Macaca mulatta: one gene and its partner. The protein of the gene in region 2 interacts with the protein of the main gene of each other region in a pairwise test. Links are inferred from orthologs where the notes say so. Each region holds a gene or a part of one and is shown on either strand. Other genes may lie near its edges.

Region 1 (9,483 bases), on a different chromosome or scaffold from region 2:
TGTGTAGGCCCAGCAATTCAAGTCCACTCCTGGCAGCCAGCCTTGAACACAGAACTGATCAGCCACACAGAAAACCTGAAGCAAAGCCTCTAAAGTGCAGCCTCTCAAAAACGCTCACCAGAGGTTTCTTAATCAGACTTAGTGTAGCCAGTGAGCTTCTGTTGCCTCCTGTGACGTGGGTGCTATTTCTCCCACTAAAAGCCCAAACCTCTGCCTCAGGAGACAGGGCGCAGCTGCAGCCTCCTCAACTAAGTGTGAAGGGCTACTTCCTGGGCAACTCAGAGGCTCCTTAAACTCACAATGGTGTGCAAATCTGTGGGCTCACTTTCTACATCAGATCTTCAAAGGTCTCTGTGATTCCAAAAGCTTGGGAACTGTTAAATTTGATCATTTCTGAAATGTCCTCCAGTTTAAAAGTCCTCAGTTCCAGTTCATTTTCAATTCCTGAATAAAGGGATGAGTCCTGGAGCTTCTGGAAGCTGGCCTGGAGCTGAGCACTTGCTGCAGACAATGCCCGAAGCGCAAACCCGCGTGGATTTGGGCTGCAGGTGAAAGCTTCATATTCAGGTCTTACTTTGTGACAGTGAGAGGTGACCAGGGAAGCCTATATGAGGGGCGGGGGCCAACCAGCAGCCCAGCCTGGGGAGCTGCCTTAACCACATCTCACCTTACTTCCTCAGAGCTACATTTTTCTTGAAGGGAACTGCAGATTTATGCAAAATACTAAGCAAGCTGAGTGGCTGTTTTATTTTATTTTAAGCAGTAAGGAAAAACAGAAATTTTCACACCAAAGACCCTGTGCTAGTCTCAGAGGAACTGGTGTTGAGACTGAGGAATCACGGAACACCGCTCTCGGAAACTGTTAGGGCAACTGAAAAAAAAAAAAAAAAAAAAAAAAAGAGTAAAGACAATGAAGAGGCTTAATTCTCCCTGTTAAAAAAAAGGGAAGCAGCCGGGCGCGGTGGCTCAAGCCTGTAATCCTAGCACTTTGGGAGGCCGAGACGGGCAGATCTCGGGGTCAGGAGATCGAGACCACCCTGGCTAACACGGTGAAACCCCGTCTCTACTAAAAAATACAAAAAACTAGCCGGGCGAGGTGGCGGGCGCTTGTAGTCCCAGCTACTCGGGAGGCTGAGGCGGGAGAATGGCGTAAACCCGGGAGGCGGAGCTTGCAGTGAGCTGAGATCCGGCCACTGCACTCCAGCCTGGGGGACAGAGCGAGACTCCGTCTCAAAAAAAAAAAAAAAAAAAAAAAAGGGAAGCAGTGTCCACTCTCCCTTAGAGCATTTTCTTTGGAAAACTTACTGTAAATCTTCCTCTGCCCCTTTGGGGGCATGCAAAGCTTTCTGACAACTAAATAAGCCTCTTGCCAGCTTTGCAACCCAGGACTGTGTTCCTGAAGGACCTGAGAGTCCGTCTTTGAAACATCATCATCAGAGCAGCCAGGGCCCTATCGGCCAGTCTCTGTGGGACGGTGGGGGCCTAACATCTGCTGTGAGTGGTAAATCTACCTCCTGTCATGAAGGCAAGAGTTTATTTTCCTTTGTAACAAGGTAATTAGCAAACGCAGGTGGTCAGGTAAATTGAGGTTGAATCTCCGATGAAACGGGTGTGGCCAAAGGTGCTGTGCAGTCCACTGATCTGAGGACTAGGCATTACTCTTCTTGAGAAGGTGTGCAGTGAGCAATGGGTTGGACCCGCTGGCTAGACTGGCAATGAGATTTCTTTCTGTCTTTGCAGCATCTTAGCGGGTCATTGCCTGTGATGCGCATCTCACTCTGAGTTCACGCCTCTTCAATGATGAAAGTGTTTTCTTCCTCTTCTATCTCTGCAGAGATAGGCTTGCTGGGATAGATTGTTTGTAATTCTATTTCCCTACCACCACAGGATGAGCTTTGGGGGTCAGGCAGCTGGGAAGGAACCCATGCCTAGGCCTTTCACACTCTACATCCATCAGTAGCAGAACTTAAGAGTCTTCCTGGGACTCCATACTTCCTGGAAAGAGGAATTCATTCTTTTCATTGCTGACATTCCTGGGTGTGTGTGTGTGGCAGTTATACTTTCCCCATCCCATTCTGTACCTCCTTCCACTCCGGGGACCCCAAGAGGCCTGGCTCCGCTTGCCCAGTGCACCTCCGAAGAAGGGAGACTGGGAGATGAGGATCCTGCCAGGGGGCCAGGTGTTGGACAAGGTGAATGTGAATGTGGAGGAGAAAGACAGAGGCCTCCCAAGAACCTGATGGGGTCGGGGATGAGGTGAGGGTGCTCAGAAAAGTGCTGGGGCAGGCTCCAGGCTGGGGCCACGGACTGGCCTCACCAGCTGGGGGCTGACTTCTTGGGGTTGCGTTCTGCCTCCCCCTCCCACACACGGCTCTTTGCCCTCTAGAGGCCAAGGGGCAATGGCAGGTTCACAGTGGCACTGCAAGGTTAGGGTTGTTGGGGGTTCTTAGGGAGCAGGGGCACCAGTCCTGCTGTGGCCCTGGCTTCCCCCACCTTGCCCAGGCTCCATGTGCACCCTCAGAGTCCCCCTGGCACAACCTTTCTTCTTCCCACGAGGAACACCCCCACTTCCACTTGGGCCTCTGCCAGGAAGGGTGGGAGCTCTGCCAAGGTGTCCCTCTGAGTGACCACCCTCAGCTGGAGCCACCAGCCAGGCCTCTGCACAGGAGCTGCCCCTGGGCCTTGTGTGTAAAATGGGGGTAATAACAGTATCTGCCTCATAAGGTTGCTGCAAGAATTAAATGAGTTCATACAAGTGAAAGGCACTTAGAACCAGGATCCAGAGGCTTGCAAGGGGTGAGCTGGAGTAGCCATGGTAAGTATGGAGAGGGAGGTGAACTGATGGATATAAAATCGCCAAGGCAAAAAATTTAAAAACAAAAACAACCAGCTGGGCTCGGTGGCTCATGCCTGTAATTCCAGTGCTTTGGGAGGCACAGCAGAAGCATCACTTGAGTCCAGGAGTTGGAGATAAATCTGGGCAACACTGTGAGACGACATCTCTAAAAAAAAAATAATAATAATCACTAAGGCAAGAACCTAGTACACTGTAGGCATTCCCTAAGTGTTTACAATTTTTATTCCAATTATATAAAAATAAAATATATTTGAATAGAAACAGAACTCTAAAAAGCAATAACAAGAAATAGTAACTGGTTGTCTTTTAAAATACTATAAGGTAGGACTACAACTGGTTTCCTTTTTTTTTTTTTTTTTTTTTGAGACGGAGTCTCGCTCAGCTGCCCAGGCTGGAGTGCAATGGAGCGATCTCAGCTCACTGCAACCTCTGCCTCCCGGGTTCAAGTGATTCTCCTCTCTCAGCCTCCCGAATAGCTGGGATTACAGGCACCTGCCACCATGCCTGGCTAATTTTTAAATTTTAGTACAGATGGGTTTTCACCAAGTTGGCCAGGCTGGTCTTGAACTCCTGACCTCAGGGGATCCGCCTGCCTCAACCTCCCAAATTGCTAGGATTTCAGGCATGAGCCACCGTGCCTGGCCTTTTTTTTTTTCTTTTTTATACCATTCTGTGATTTAAACTTTTCGATAATGCACATATATTAGTTTTATAATCAGGGAAGAAAAATCAATGTTTTCTTTAATGCTGAGTTTTGTTAATATTTCTGATATTTCACAAAACATCTTTTGTTGACATTCTACAAATGATACCATCCAATAATGTCCCAATACTTTCTTCTTGTGAAGAGAGTTTATATATCTGTAAAAATGAAAGACAAATTATGACTTGCTGATATCATCATTCACTACTAATTGTCATTATACAAACATGTGTAAGTGAAATTATTCCTCATTCAATTATTGGGTTCATAGTATAACAAACAACAAATGTGATTAAAATATTCCAAGTAGATGGCAATTCATTACTTGTATTCCCTTTAAATTGCTGCTATGGGGGTAACTCTCAAGAACATAAAAACCAAATTTCTATCCATTTAAAAGCACATATCTAGATATTAACTTCATACTAAATTTATTTTACATTTTAAATATACTATGTAAGTTTGATATTGAAAGGTATTCTCTTTCTTAATGTGGAGAATGGTTGTATCAGCTGAGTTTGTAATTATATTTTACATAAACCCACACCTCCCAGTTCTTTGTATCTAAAATTATTTTTTAGTAATTTAAAAAATTAGATTAACTTTCTCAAAAGTTCAAAAAACAAGGAGCCCTGGTGATCAATAAGCAAACAGTATCAGCATTATTGCTCATCTGTCACACTCTTTCTAAAAATATGGACTGGCAAACAAACCTTTTGGACTTCCGTAATATTTGTTATCTCAGGAAGACTTTTCAGAGAAACCTGATGACCTTCCACTTGAGATATTAGGTATTCTTGATTTATTTGTTTTTCTCCCTCTTCAATGTAAACAATTAGAATTGAAGTGTCATTTGCTGAGATACCAAATTTTTTCAAAGCCTCTGAAATCTAAGAGAAAAAAAATGAAAAAAAAACAAAAACAAAAACATAAACAAAACAAGATAATTAACCATTGTTTCCTATGTCTGAAACATTTCCTGATCTGCCTTCTTCCTTGGTCAGGCTCTTATTTTTCATGTCCTAAAAGTTCTCACTGCTTAGTTTTTCACTTTGATGATTCCTTTCCAACATCCATTGGCACTTCCTCGAAAGTACTCCCTGCTTCAAGTTATGCCTTGTTCCTATGGAATCAAGCCCAGCCTCTTGGTGCTGCACAAAAAAACACCTCCTCCCTCTGGTGCCAAGTGGCTCTCCAGCCAGGCGCTTCTGCCACCTGGCCAGTCTGGCCTGCCTGGGGGTCCAGTCACATTTCATGCCCTTCTGCCTGTGCTCAAGCTTTGTCCTCTGCTCGCATGTCCCTTCTCCCCATGGCTTGGCTGCTGAACACATGCTTCAAGGTCCACATTTCTGATGCCACTCCCCACCACACCCTCCTCCCTCCAAAATGAATGGCTTCATTGCTGTACCCCTAGATTTGAATTCATTTTTCCATTATATCATTTATCTCAGGGCATTTTAACTTGTTTATCTGCCTCTCCTCGGGAACATATTTGCCTCTTCTGCCCCTAGAACTGCAAATGGAACAGGGAAAATTTCAACAGACGTTTACTGAATTCAAGAGTTTTCTGAATTATGTCTAATGATCTCAAGGAAACAATAATTAGTAAATTTTATTCCAAGTACTGGGAAACTCTATTACCATGCTGAGATAACTGCATTTTATAAACTTTACAATCATCTGTATTTTAACCTATGCCACAGGTTTCGTAACTTTTCTCTAGATGAAATTAGTACCTGGTTGTTATTAATAGCAGCAGTAATACTAAAAATTCATCAGCAAAATTGCAGTCATTTTTTTCATGTGCTACATGTGTGATGTCTTTGGCTTGATAACTTTCATTGAAAAAGCATTACTGGCCGGGCGCGGTGGCTCAAGCCTGTAATCCCAGCACTTTGGGAGGCCGAGACGGGCGGATCACGATGTCAGGAGATGGAGACCATCCTGGCTAACACGGTGAAACCCCGTCTCTACTAAAAATACAAAAAAAAGAAATTAGCCGGGCGTGGTGGCGGGCGCCTGTAGTTCCAGCTACTCCGGAGGCTGAGGTGGGAGAATGGCATGAACCTGGAAAGCGGAGCTTGCAGTGAGCCGAGGTTGTGCCACTGTACTCCAGCCTGGGCGACAGAGCAAGACTCCGTCTCAAAAAAAAAAAAAAAAAAAAAAAGGAAAAAGCGTTACTATAAGTATTTCAAACCACAGACTCTTCCTACATACTGGGTGTGTGAGTGAGGATGTGTTAAGGACTGTTATAGGTACCAGCAAGTTCCTGGTATATGAAAAAGACATGGATCCCACCCTCAAGGAGTTTACGGGAAGAGGGAAAGATATGCACGCTAGCACACAAAATATCCATGCCTAATGTTTTATCATTTAGATTTCTGTCAGTTTCTTAAGCAAAAAATACTTGAGAGGTCTTCCTGATCCTATATGGTAAGAACAGATAAAATTAACCTCACTTAATTTAGCTAAATTTGTGTTTACTCATATGTAAACTGTCTTAGTAAGAGGCAGGGTAAACCTCAACTCTCTGTCCAGAGCTCTCTTCACTACTATTTTGGTTTATTACTAACCACTGGCTTGCAGGAATTTAGCCTCCAACCCTGAGGAACACATATGTTATTATGACAAGGTCAACAGAAATAGGAAAGTCTACATTACATTGTTATTTGGGGAAAGGTTGAAAATAATTTCAGTAGATAGAGTTCTTGTCTTCATTTTTCCCAGTTTGTAGAGGTGAACTGCTTTGTTTGCTGCCACAAGTATCTGAAATGGATCGACAATCTACCAAAGAGAGCAGAAAGAATTAATTACACATAGAGAATCTGCAGTGCTTGAAAACACATGGTAACTCATGGTTAACTCCACTGTCAAGCTGGTTTACTTCATCACAATTCTTATGGTCTGTATTTTCAAAACTATTATCCCAGCTAGGCGTGGTGGCTCATGCCTGTAATCCCAGCACTTTGGGAGGCCAAGGCGGGCGGGTCACCTGAGGTCAGGAGTTCAAGACCAGCCTGGCCAACACGGCGAAACTGTATCTCTACTAAAAATACAAAAATTAGGTGTGGTATCACGCACCTGTAATCCCAGCTACTCGGGAGGCTGAGACAGGAGAATTGCTTGAACCCAGGAGGTGGAGGCTGCAGTGAGCCGAGATTGCACCATTGCACTCCAGCCTGGGCAACAAGAGTGAAACTCTGTCTCAAAACAAAAACAAAAACAAAAACAAAAACTATTATCCCAAGGGCCTGGGTAGTCAGAAAATCATAGAATTTTAAAGCTGCAAGGACTTATGCAAATAGTAAAATTTTTTAAAATAACATTAATTGAGGGCTAATATTATGGGCATGATCATATTCCAAACATTTTACTTGTGTTATTTTCTTTAATCCTCAAAACTACCCTATGAAACTAATACTATTAATAGTAGTAGTAGTATGTAATTGATGAGGAAATTGAGGCAAAGAATGTCTGAGTTTGAATCCCATCTCTGCCACCTATCACCTAGGGAACTTAGGCAAGTTCCTTAGCATTTTATTTGTTAGAGACACATGAAACAGTATTTACTACATAGGCTGTTGTGAAGATTAAGCGAGTTAGTATACGTAAAGCACTTGGAACAATACTAGGAATACAGTAAGCACTATATAAAGGTTGGCTATGTCTTGTTCAAAGTCCTAAGTAGTAGGTCTGGGATTAATTCCCAGTAACATGATCCCACTGCCTGTGCTTTTTTTTTTTTTTTTTTTTTTTTTTTTTTTTTTTTTTTTTTGAGACAGAGTCTCGCTCCATCGCCCAGGCTGGAATGCAGTGGCTCAATCTCAGCTCACTGCAACCTCCGCCTCCCAGGTTCAAGTGATTCTTGTGCCTCAGCCTCCCGAGTAGCTGGGACTACCAGCACACACCACCATGCCCAGCTACTTTTTGTATTTTTAGTAGAGACAGGGTTTCACTATGTAGGCCACACTGGTCTCAAACTCCTGGCCTCAAGCAATCCACACCCCTTGGCCTCTGTGTGTGCTCTTAACCACTACGCTATGCCTCCTCTACAGACTGTCTTGTTAAGAACCCCCATTTTAAAGATAAGAAGCTGGAGATCCAGGCATTTCCCATGTTAGACCCAGACCACAACCTTTCCTCCTTCCTAGGGCAGGACCTGGCACTTCTGCCTCTATTCACTGTTATAGTCCAGGTTGGCTGCATCTGACTTGGACAAGAATTTTTTCCCTAACAGTGACAGAATTTTAGGCTACCCTATAACATCACAAATATTAACGTATACTTAAATGGCCTGTATGGTTCATTCATTGTTTTTTTGTTTGTTTGTTTTGTTTTGTTTTGAGACACAGTCTTGCTCTGTTGCCCAGGCTGGAGTGCAGTGGCGTGATCTCGGCTCACTGCAACCTCTGCCTCCCAGGCTCAAGCGATTATCCTGCCTCAGCCTCCCGAGTACAGGTGCCCACCACCACGTTCAGCTAATTTTTGTATTTTTAGTAGAGACAGGGTTTCACCATATTGGCCAGACTGGTCTCAAACTCCTGACCTCGTGATCTGCCCACCTCGGCCTCCCAAAGTGCTGGGATTACAGGCGTGAGCCACCACGCCTGGCTTTTTTTTTTTTTTTTTTTTTTTTTTTGAGACAGTTTCACTCTTGTCGCCCAGGCTGGAGTGCAATGGCGCAATCTTGACTCACCGTAACCTCCGCCGCCCGGGTTCAAATGATTCTCCTGCCTCAGCCTCCCGAGTAGCTGGGATTATAGGCACCCGCCACCACGTCCAGCTAATTTTTGTATTTTTAGTTGAGACAGGGTTTCACTATGTTGGCCAGGCTTGTCTTCAACTCCTGACCTCAGGTGATCCACCCACCTCGGCCTCCTAAAGTGCTGGGATTATGGGCATGAGCCACCGCACCCAGCCAGCTCATTCATTCTTACAATTTATATTTACCACTGTAGGATTTATCAGTGATCCATCGATGGTGCCTTCCATGGCCTTTCTTCTCAAGTCTCCCGCATTTTTTACATCTTTAAATAACAGAAGGGTTACCCTGCATTCAGGAAATAGGTCCAGCTGATGTGTTAACTGCATTTCACAGATAAGCAGGATTCTACTGCACACAAAATGAAAAGACCAAAAGATTTCGTTTATTTAAAAGTTAACATTATAACTCATTTCTTAACAAATATTCAATAACTTTGATAACAACATGATAAAAAGTTTTAAATTAGAAAAATCCATCGCCAAAGCCCATTTGGCATCCTCATGAGATGTTGTCTTCCTAACCCTTTTGAGCTGTTTCTAGTTCCACTGCCATTCCCAGGGAAACGCCAAAGGGCCCAGCTGGTTGCTGTTTGTTCAGATAAGGCAGGCTCAGATGCATGGTTGAAGGGCTGCTTCCCCAGCAGACAAGCAGGAGCAGAATGTCAGGAATTTTTTAAACCAGAGGTTATTTATGGTATTAATGAAGTCTTACTCTATCTTAGTCTTTTTAAATTCCTGATCTCATCATTTTATTTATATTTTAGGAAGGCCTAGACTAAATATTAAGGAAGAAAATAATTTTAAAGAATAAAGTAGGCCGGGCATGGTGGCTCACGCCTGTAATCCCAGCACTCTGGGAGGCCAAGAAGAGCAGATCACCTGAGGTCGGGAATTTGAGACCAGTCTGACCAACATGAAGAAACCCCATCTCTACTAAAAATACCAAAAAAATTAGCCAGGCATGGTGGCACATGCCTGTAATCACAGCTACTCAGGAGGCTGAGGCAGGAGAATCACTTGAACCTGGGAGGCGGAGGTTGCAGTGAGCCAAGATTGCACCATTGCACTCCAGCCTGGGCAACAAGAGTGAAACTCAGTCTCAAAAAAAAAAAAAAAAAGAATAAAGTATCACACTTGACCCAAAGATATTAATTCCACA
Region 2 (10,830 bases):
AGCTCAGGCAGAGAACTCGCCTGCATAATAAAAGATTGGGGTGGGGGTGCCCAGAGATTCATACCCTATGCCAGTGGCACACCTGGGTCCAACCAGTTTTGCACACCCTATGTAGATTAGACAGTACCTCCTCACCAGCTCATCTATAAAACCCCCTGCAGATCTGCTGGATCACCGCAGATCCAGCAACCCATTTTTCCAGGACCCCTCTTGTAATAGTTTAATTTCTTTCAACTATTAAATTTCTGCTCTTCAACTCACTCTTTGTGGGTCCATGTCCTTGATCTCCATGACCATGAGACAACGAACCTCGGGTGTTCCCCCAGACAAGGCTGCTTCTCCACTGCGTTCCCTGCCTCGGTGGCTGCCAGGTCCTGTGCCAAGCAGTTGGAGCATGCTCGCCACGGCTTCCACCCTGGCTACTGTTTTCACTGGCCCAGCTGGTTTTGGTCGCCTTCTCACTTCCAGGTTTCTTGCTTCCACTCTTGCCGTCTATGGTTTTCTGCCAGCAACCAATGCAACTCTTTCAAAACAATCAGGTGTCACCCTGTTAAAAATCCTGAGTCCCATTAAGAACAAAACCCAACCTTGTAACAGGGCCCTGCAGGATCTGGCCCTGCCTCTCCCATCGCATGTTCTGCTCCTCCTCCTTGCTCACTGATGCCAGCCACACTGGCCTTGCTGTCGGGGATGTTCCTTCCTCACCAACTTCGCACGCCACAGCCTGCCTGGGATATACTCCCTTCATCTCCCGTGTTTCTGGTTTTCCTTCACCTCTTCACTCATCACTGTCTGAAACTGCCTTATTTTACGTTCCCCAGGAAAGTAAACTTCATGTTCCCCTCTATTAGATCTCTAGTGCCTGGCACATAGTGAGTACTAGTGTATTACTCACGCTGCTAATAAAGACATACCCGAGACCGGGTAATTTATAAAGGAGAAGTTTAATTACTCACAGTTGAGCATGGCTGGGGATGCCTCGGGAAACTTACAATCATGGCGGATGGGGAAACAAACACATCATTCTTCACATGGCAGCAGGAAGTGCCAAAAAGAGGGAAAAGCCCCTTATAAAACCATCAGATCTCATGAGAACTCACTCACTATCACAAGAACTGCATGGAGGTAGCCGCCCCCAGGATTAAATTACCTCCCACTAGGTCTCTCCCGTGTCACGTGGGGGTTACAGGAACAATTCAAGATAAGATTTGGGTGGGGACACAGTCAAACCATATCAACTAGGGCTTTGTTGATTTAATGCACATAAGCCAACCATACCCCACAAAGTAGGTACTAGCCTTATAGTACATGTGAGGAAACTGAGGAATGAGGCATCTCATTCATGTTGGGAATATTAATTGAAAAACTTGTCAGCTCCTGTGGTCCTTGGAGTTCCTTGAAAATAATGTTATATGCCAATACTTCTTATAGTACTGTGAAGACGCACCATATCCCATATCTCTTTTGTCAGTGGAAAGAACAGATTTGGAGCCAAGTAAAAGTACCTTTGGCTACCTGTGACGTCTAGGACAAGTTCCCACCTTTTGGTGCCAGTTTCTCCATCTATAAAATGGGGACAACGCTTAACTTAAGAGTTATTTTAGATCCAATATAAAAATTCCCAGCCCAATGCCTGACATGCAGTAAACAGGCAATGATACTGTTTTTCCTCTCTACGAGTCACAACTACCCAGGAAGGGAGTTTTCACCATTCCTGGCCATCCACCCCATGCTGGACACTGGGGGAGTGCTGACTGTGATGAACGAAACAAACAGGGTACTGGTCCTACTATTACAGAATGTTTGCTTCATAAGAACAGGCACTGACTGTATCATCTCTCAACACAACGGAATGAAGCTAGGAATGAGTAACAAAAGAAAAACTGGAACATTCACAAATGTGTGGAAATTAACAGATTTCTAAACAATCAAGTGGTCAAAAAAGAAATCACAAGGGAAATTAGAAAATACTTCGAGATTAATGAAAACAAAAACACAAAATACCAAAACTGAGAGTGTGTGATGAAAAGTGTGCAGAGAGAAATTCATAGCTGTAAATGTCTATATTAAGAAACAAGAAAGTAACTATGTGAGGTGATGGGTGTTAATTAGCTCGGCTGTAGTCATCATTTCATAATGTGTATCAAAACATCACACTACTTAATAATTTTTTATAAAAATAAATTTTCTTACAAAAGAACAGGCGCTATGTCTGTCTGGCTCACCATTGTACCCAACACCCAACAGGGTGCCAAGGAACATAAAAGGTACTCAAAATATGTTTGTTGATTGGAGTTTACAAGGAAGAAAGGTATTTTATTATACATCCGTTCCCTTCCCACCCACACACAGCTTCTTCTAAGAAAAGAAATTGAGGCTGGGCAAGGTTAAAAGCTAGCTCCTGGTACCTTTGCATCCACACTCAGCTTATCTGTACCTTAAACCAGACTTCATCAAACTTCAGTCTTCACAAGTCACTTCATCATTTTTGCTCTACCTACTCATTGCCTGTGACAGAAATCAACTCAGTTTGCTTACCTGTATAAACTTAAAAGGAACTTTATATCAATCACTTGTCTTAGAAGGTAACCACAAAAATACAAAACAATAAAAATAAAAACAATGTTAACATGAATTTCAGTTGCCTGAAAGCTGTAAGTCTGCTTTTTTAAAAGAGAAATTGGAGTTAAGCAGATTTTTCATTTTTTGATCATGACCCTGAAAGAGAAATATATTTGACATCAAAACTCAGTACATATCCTTGTCTACATATACATGTGAAAGTTTCATAAAACAATATTGATATTTTCTATGCTGCAATTCTATTTCATTTTTAAAAATGCTGGTTGTATCCCATTAAACTGGTTTCAAAATAAATATATCATGTACACAACAAAAAAAACACTGGGTTAGAGGGCCAGTAAGCTCAGTGAGTATCACTGAGACTTCATCCTTGTCTCACAAGGACTAAAAAGAGAGTAACATTCTCATTATGTAGTTCAATGCCACACCCATATAACTGAGACATACATGTCACAATCTGGGAGAAGCCTGTCCTAGATTTAAATACCCAGTTCTGCCTAGAACATGACTCAGACACATAGTAAGCTCTTGAGTAGAGTGAAGTGCAGATGATAATGACACCACAGGCACGATCACACACCACTTAAAAATATCTTAACACCTTTACTTAGATCTCATCTCATACTTTTAGTATTTCTTCAAATTTACTTTGAAAAAAGAGCTTCACTGTGTGTGGCTGTCATACACATTTTCCTACCCAACCATGGTCCTCTTTCTTCCTCTCAGGCGCACTTCATCTAATTTTTTTAGCACTGGCCTGGCCTTTTTGGAGGAGGTGGAGTAGCTCTTCAAAAAGGCTTCAAATACAGTTTCAGTGTTGGGATGGGTACTGAGGAAGGCCTTCTCCAGGACATAGAGGTCTACTCCCTTATCCTCTGGAAGTGCCGAAATGAAGCTCAGCCCAAAGTCTATGAGGACAATGTTCAGCTGTTCCAGGGGGGGTTTCAGGAGCATGTTGGAGGTGGTGAGATCACCATGAATGAGGTCTTCATCGTGCATTCGAGCCAAAACCTGCCCAATTGTCTTGGCTAAGTTGGAGAGACTTTGGGGAGTTTTTTCAGTCTCCATAGTAGACTGAATATAATCTCGAACAGTCACTGAGCCTTCAATTTCTTCCATATATAAGCAGTTGGAAGCATAGTCCACAAAAAAGACAACTGGGGCAGATATTCCTGAAATCAAGACATAAGTGGTTATTGGGTTGGATTTTTTTTTAATGGATAAACTTAATTTTCAAAGATTAAGCCAGTTTTTCCATCTATATCTACTTATTTCAGGATGATTTAGGAATGCTACAGGGAATGGTACAACTGAATGGAATATTCCCCTGCTCCTGCCCCCTGCAGGACTATACCTGGGACCACCCCACAGCTAAACTGAGGAGGCCATAGCTTCCTCCTCCCTTCCAAACCACCCTTTCTCACTGAACTTCATTTGTCACACTCACTCTCTAAAAAACAAACAAAACAAAGGCCGGGTGTGGTGGCTCATGCCTGTAATCCCAGCACTTTGGGAGGCCGAGGCAGGCGGATCACTAGAGGTCAGAAGTTCGAGACCAGCCTGGCCAACAGGGTGAAACCCCATCTCTACTAAAAATACAAAAATTAGCAGAGCGTGGTGGTATGCACCCGTAGTCCCAGCTACTCGGGAGGCTGAGGCAGGAGAATAGCTCAAACTCAGGGGGTAGAGGTTGCAGTAAGCCGAGATTGCGCCACTGCAGCACTCCAGCCTGGGTGACAAAGTGAGACACTGTCTCAAAATACAAAAACAAACAGCAAGGCACAGCCCAGTCAGAGCAGTTTCTACTGATGAGGACACAAACAGGAGGCCAAGCAGTGTGCTGGCTTCGAGGTTCATCTTCACAGTCAGAGAGGACAGGGTTCAAATCCCAGCTCCTTTTCTTATTAGTTGTCTAATCTAATCTTAAAATTACATTAACTTCTCGGCCAAGGCAGGTGGATCACGAGGTCAGGAGATCGAGACCATGCTGGCTAACATGGTGAAACCCCGTCTCTACCAAAAATACAAAATATTAGCCAGGCGTGGTGGCAGGCGCCTATAGTTCCAGCTATTCTGGAGGCTGAGGCAGGAGAATGGCGTGAACCCTGGAGGTGGAGCTTGCAGTGAGCCGAGATTGGCCACTGCACTACAGCCTGGGGGACAGAGCGAGACTCCGTCTCAAAAAAAAAAAAAAAAATTACATTAACTTCTCTAAGTCTCAGTTTCTGCTACAATAAACTCAAATGAATTTTTACTGAAAGTCAACCAGGCTCAGTATACTTTTCTAGAAACTGAGAGATGTATCAATGGGGATACAGCAATAAACAAGCCAGCTATAATACAATCTCTGCTTAACGAAACATATCATAAGAGGCTGAAAACAGAAATATGAACACACAAATAAGTTCGTGAAATCTTCAGTCTCTGAAAGGGCAGCAATGTGTCTGCTTGTTGGCTACTGAATGTCCCCCCTTGCTAGATCTCCCAGCACTTAACAATGTCCTGGCACCCACAAGTACCTAAAAAATACTAATAAAAGAAAGGCACGAAGCGTAAAATTAAAAAGCCAGTACTTCTGAGTCAGAGGCATACGGAGCTGAGGGCCTGGACCGGCCACTTAGTAGCCGTGTAACCTTGGGCAAGTTACTTCTCTCTGAGTGTCACTTTCTCAACTGAGGACAAGGTTTATGGCGCTGGCGCACAATAAATAGGCAATTTAATGAAATCCAACACTTACTGAGCACTATGTGCCAGGCACACATTCGAACATAATACACTGCACACAGACCTCCTCTAATGGTCACAACATCCCTATGACATGGATATTGCTACTATGTCTCCCATTTTACAGGTGAAAAAACCGAAGGTGAGAGGCTAAATAACTTGTTGAAAGGCTACATAAGCAGCAGAGTTAGTATTTCAACCCAGACAGCCTGGCTCCAGTGGGGCAAGTACTTGTAATTACATGTTTCTTAAAACTAATAAATGAAAAGATAATGATCGAAAATTGAAACGAGTCAAATGGGGAAATCAAGGCTCAGGGAAGTTAAAGATGTTCGACGTTGACCAATAATGACAGCGTCCAGATTTGAACCTGGCAGAACGGCCCCAGGACAAACGCTTGACGCTGCAAGGCCACGTGGTTTCTTAAGACTTAACGAATGAAGAAAGGGATGAAAGAATAACATTTCCGAAAGGCTGGCCACGGCAGAAGGCACAGAAGGAGAAACTGAGGCAAACCGAGGCTCGGAGCGCAGGAGAGTCCCTCACCCGCCCAGGCCCCAGAGCCTCGGGGCCGCCCACGCCAGGATCCGGGCCCTCCTTACCCGCGCGGCGGCAGCGGAGGAGAGCCCGCGCTTCCTGCACCGTCCGCCGCCGGCCAAGCCGCGCCTCCAGCGCCGGGTGCCGGTAGCCCTTGGGGAAGCGGTGCTTTATCACAGCCGCGCGGCCCTGGAAGCGGCCGCGGAACACGCGCGCCTCGGCGCCCTGCTTCACCAGCTCCAGGCCTCTCAAGAAGCGGCTGCTTCGCTCCCGGGCCGCGGCCAGAGCCTCAGCCTCTGGCGCGGGCTCCTCGCCATCGTCCGGGGCAGCAGGTCTGGCCGCCGCCATGACTGTGCTCGGCGGTACAGCTCCGACCGACCCGCTCTCTCTGAAAACTGTCGCGATGCTTCGGCTCGCTTCGGAAATCCTGGTACTTCTTCGGTTACCCGAACGCTTCCGCCCCGGACACTTCCGGCCTGTGAGTGGTTACGCCTCCCAACCTTTCGGCTCTCTGAAGCCTTGGGTTCCCTGCAGGAAGGGTTCCTGTGGCCCCGCCTTTCACCTCTTCGGCTATCTCCGTACACGTTCGGCAACTCTCGGTAAGTGGCTCTTCCCTACTCCTTGGCTCTCCGGAAATCTTCGGTGATTCCCGCAACCGGTTTTGGGAGATCACCTCCCAGTTGGTCGTCTCTTTCCGGAAAACTTCGGCTCCTCTCGAGAAAAACGTCGGACGCTCTTTGCTCACTTAAGGAGTCTCCTCCTGGACAGGTGCACCCTCTAGTAGTGTCTTTTTGGAACACCTCTTCCCCTGACTCCTAAATTCCCCCCAGAATGTACTCATACTAGTCAGTGTCGGAAGGGTCAGACAATGAACCGTGTTTCCGACATCCTCTTAAGTGCTAGGATAACTACCATTTAGTGCATTCAGAAGAAATAAGATTAAATGATGAAAATCCTTACAGAAAAGAAAATTGAGACTCAGAGAGGGCAGTGGGGGTGGTGGGATGGGGCGGGGAGTGGGGGCTGGGGAATCCAGGAAAGTTTTCCGGAGACAGAACCTAAACTGAATTGGGAGGAATTAAACTTTTTCAGTTTCTACCTGTTTCATTACAAAGCTAATAACACAGGCTGTAGCAAATTCTTACAATACGGAACTTTGCGCGCACACACACATATAAATAAACTGCCCATCCTCCTTGTGACACCGCTGGCCGTTAGTTTCTTTCCAGAACTTTCTTTTATTCAGTGCGCACACTCACACATCATTGTGGCCTTTTTTCCAACATAAATGACATCATACTGTGGGTTCTTTTGCAACTTGCATTTCATTTTCCTAAACAATTTATCTCGGACTATATTCCATATCAGTACATACAGAACTACCACATCCTTCTACTTGGTCAGGCAGTTTCTTGTTGCTAAGCAGTTGTTTCCAGTTTGTTGTTTTTCAGAAAAACACTTTACTTACTATTGCCAGTTTATTATAAAAGATAGTATAAAAGATAAAAAATGAACAGCCAGATGAAGAGGTACATAAGGGAAATTAAAAATTGTACGTATTTATCATGAGCAACATGTTTTGAAATATGTGTACATTGTGGAGTGGCTAAATCCAGCTAGTTAATGTTACCTAACATACTCATCATTTTGGGGATGAGGACACTTAAAATCTATTATCTTAGCACATTTTTCAAGAATACAACACATTGTTATATCTATAGTCACCATGTTGTGCAATAGATTTCATGAATGTTTCCTCCTAACTGAAATTTTGTGTCGTTTGACTAACATCTCAAAATCCTCCCAATCTCCCTCCTCCTGCCCCAGCGCCTGGTAACCACCATTCTACTCTGCTTGCATGAGTTCAACTTTTCTTACCTTCCTCATACAAATGAGATCATGGGATATTTGTCTTTCTGTGCCTGGCTTATTTCATTTAACACAATGTCCTCCAGTTCCATCCATATTGCTGTAAATGACAGCATTCCATTCTTTTTAAAGGCTGAGTAGTAGTATTCCATTATGTATATAAATGTACCATATTTGTATCCATTCATTTATTGATGGACACTTAGACTGAGAATTGCGAATGATGCTGCAATTAACATGGGAGTGCAGACATCTCTTCAATATACTGATTTTGTTTCCTTTGGATATGTACCCAGTAGTAGGGTTGCTGGATCATAAGGTAGTTCTATTTTTAATTTTTTGAAGAACCTCCATACTGTTTTCCATAATGTCTGTACTAATTTACATTCCTATTAACAGGGTGCAAGGGTTCCCTTTTCTCCACGTCCTTGCCAACACTTTTTATCTTTCTTATGTTTTATCATAGCCATTCTAACAGGTCAGAGGTGATATCTCATTGTGGGTTTAATTTGCATTTCTCTGATGATTAGTGATGTTGAGCATTTTTAAAATATACCCGTCGTCCATTTTTATGTCTTCTTTTGGGAAATATTTCTTTTGATCTTTTGCCCACTTTTAATTCAGGTTTTGTCCTTTCTTACTATTGGATTGGATTCCTTATATATTTGGATATTAACCCCTTATCAGATGTATGGTTTGCAAACATTTTCTCCCTTTCAGTAGTTTGTCTTTTCACTCTTTTTTCTTTTTTCTTGACTGGTCAGAAGCATTTTAGTTTGATGCAATTCCATTTGTCTATTTTCACTTTTGCTGCCTGTGTTTTGAGGGTCATACACAAAAAATCATTGCTCAGACCAATGCCATGGCATTTTGTCCCTGTTTTCTTATAAGAGTTTTATGGTTTTGGCTGTTACATTAGACTAAAGTCTAATCCATTTTGAGTTGATTTTTGCATATGATATAAGATAAGGGTCTAATTTCTTTCACATGAATATCCAGTTGTCCCAACACCATTTATAGAAAAGACTGTCCTTTCTCCATTATGTGTTCTTGGCATTTTTGATGAAAATCAATTGACTATAAGTGTGTGGATTTATTTCTGGGCTCTGTATTCTGTTCCATTGGTCTATGTGCCTGTTTTTATGCTGGTGGCATGCTGTTTTGATTCCTATAATTTTGTAGTATATTTTGAAGTCAGGTAATGTGATGCCTCCAGCTTTGTTCTTTTTGCTCAAGATGGCTTTGACTATATGGAGTCTATTCTGATTCTATATAAATTCTAGAATTTTTTACTTCTACAAGAAATGTCATTGGAATGTTGATAGGAATTACATGGAATCTGTAGGACATTTTAACAACGTTACTCCTCCAGTTTTGTTTCTTTTTTTTTTTTTGTCTCATAAACAGTGCTGCAGGAGCAGGCTTATCCAAGTGATATCACTGGGTTGTAGGTGACAAGCACTTTGAAACTCAACACCTCAGCCAAACTACCCTCCCAAAGTTTTGTGCCTATTTATGCTTCAGTCAAACTCATGTCTCATTTTCTCATATCTTCATCTTCACTGAGTTTTTCAGGTGCTGGAAAGCTCAGTCAGAGGGTGGAGTGGGAGGGTGCTCAGGTTCCAGGCAGCGAGAACAGACACAGGGTACAGTTGGGTTGGACAAGAACCAGCAGCTCCACATGGCTGGAGCAAGTTGGCACTGGGGACAGGCAGGGAGCTGAAAGAACAAGGACAGTGGCCTGGTCCCAGAGGATTTTTCTTGCTGGAAGAGAGGTGCTGTGAGCCTGGGGTGACTGCACCAAGCATGGCCCTTTGAGGCCTTGACCTCTGGCTGCCAAATATGCAGCTGAGCTCTGGGTAGAACAGCCAAGCAGTAAAGGGGAGGGAGGCTTCTACTTTTTAGCCCTTTCTGAGCCTGAAAGAGAATCTATGGCCTCTTCCTCACTTCCCACCCATCAGCACCAGATGCCCATTCATTCATTTATTCACTAATTCATTTAGTAAATATTTATTGAGTAACTACTATAGGCCAGGCACTGTGCTAGGCCCTGAGGACAGAGCTGTAAAGAAAATAGAGAATCATTATTAGTGCCTCCATGGAGTTTATTTTCTAGTGGGTAGAAACTGACAATAAACACATAAGGAAAATGTGTCGTTGACAGGGGCTAGCAGGAGATAAATCAAGCGGGGAAGGGGGATGGGAAAGATGACCTGCATCTGGGCTTGCCAGGGACAGCCCTAGTTTTTACCTGTTACCCTGGAATAACTATCATTAGTGCCCCTGCCTTTTTTTTTTTGAGATGGAATCTCACTCTGTTTTCCAGGCTGGAGTGCAGTAGCATGATCTTGGCTCACTGCAACCTCAACCTCCCGGGTTCAAGTGATTCTCGGGCCTCAGCCTCCTGAGTAGCTGGGACTACAGGTGTATGCCACCATGCCCAGCTAATTTGTTTGTATTTTTAGTAGAGATGGGGTTTCACCGTGTTGGATAGACTGGTCTTGAACTCCTGACCTCAGGTGATCTGCCTGCCTCGGCCTCCCAAAATGCTGGGATTATAGGCATGAGCCACCACACCCAGCCTAGTGTCCCCTCTTTACTCTCAAAAGCATCCAATTTTGGATGATACAATATATGGTTACCCTATGGGTAGTAGAGTGGGGTCGGAGGGAATGATCCAGTTTTATTTTATTTTTTTATTTTTATTTTAACTGAGACAGGATCTTGCTCTGTTGCCCAGGCTGCAGTGCAGTGGTGCAACCTCCTGGGGCTCAAGCAGTCAATCCTCCTACCTCAGCCTCCTGAGTAGCTGGGACCACAGGAATGTGCCACCACTTGCAGCCAATTGTTATCATTTTTTGTAGAGACAGGGTCTCCCTATGTAGTGCAGGCTGGTTACGAACTCCTGGCCTGAAGTGATCCTCTTGCCTTAGCCTCCCTCCCAAACTTCTGGGATTACATATGTGAGCTACCATGCCCGGCCTAATTTTAAATAAAGTGGTTGAGAGGGTGTCCACGAAAAGGTGACATTTGAGCCCTGTGAATGGATTCCTGGGGGAAGATCTTTCCAGACAGGAGGGGCCCCAAAGAGGAAGTGTGCTTGACATGTTTGAGGAA

What was found.
Region 1: the proteins of TP53RK (region 2) and TPRKB interact in binary tests that used the Homo sapiens proteins (3 or more experiments, as listed by UniProt). The link is inferred for Macaca mulatta from reciprocal best matches to the Homo sapiens genes TP53RK and TPRKB.

Annotation. Positions count from the first base shown.
Region 1 is NC_133418.1:51,076,396-51,085,878, reverse strand, and holds the end of TPRKB (EKC/KEOPS complex subunit TPRKB), read right to left. Parts: intron 8,674-9,483; 5' UTR 8,652-8,673; coding exon 8,511-8,651; intron 6,345-8,510; coding exon 6,222-6,344; intron 4,451-6,221; coding exon 4,274-4,450; intron 3,719-4,273; coding exon 3,670-3,718; coding exon of another isoform or gene 3,632-3,669; exon of another isoform or gene 3,565-3,631; intron 3,003-3,564; coding exon 2,905-3,002; downstream 1-2,904. UniProt on the Homo sapiens protein: Component of the EKC/KEOPS complex that is required for the formation of a threonylcarbamoyl group on adenosine at position 37 (t(6)A37) in tRNAs that read codons beginning with adenine.
Region 2 is NC_133415.1:99,487,953-99,498,782, forward strand, and holds TP53RK (EKC/KEOPS complex subunit TP53RK), read right to left. Parts: upstream 6,255-10,830; 5' UTR 6,193-6,254; coding exon 5,910-6,192; intron 3,756-5,909; coding exon 3,277-3,755; 3' UTR 926-3,276; downstream 1-925.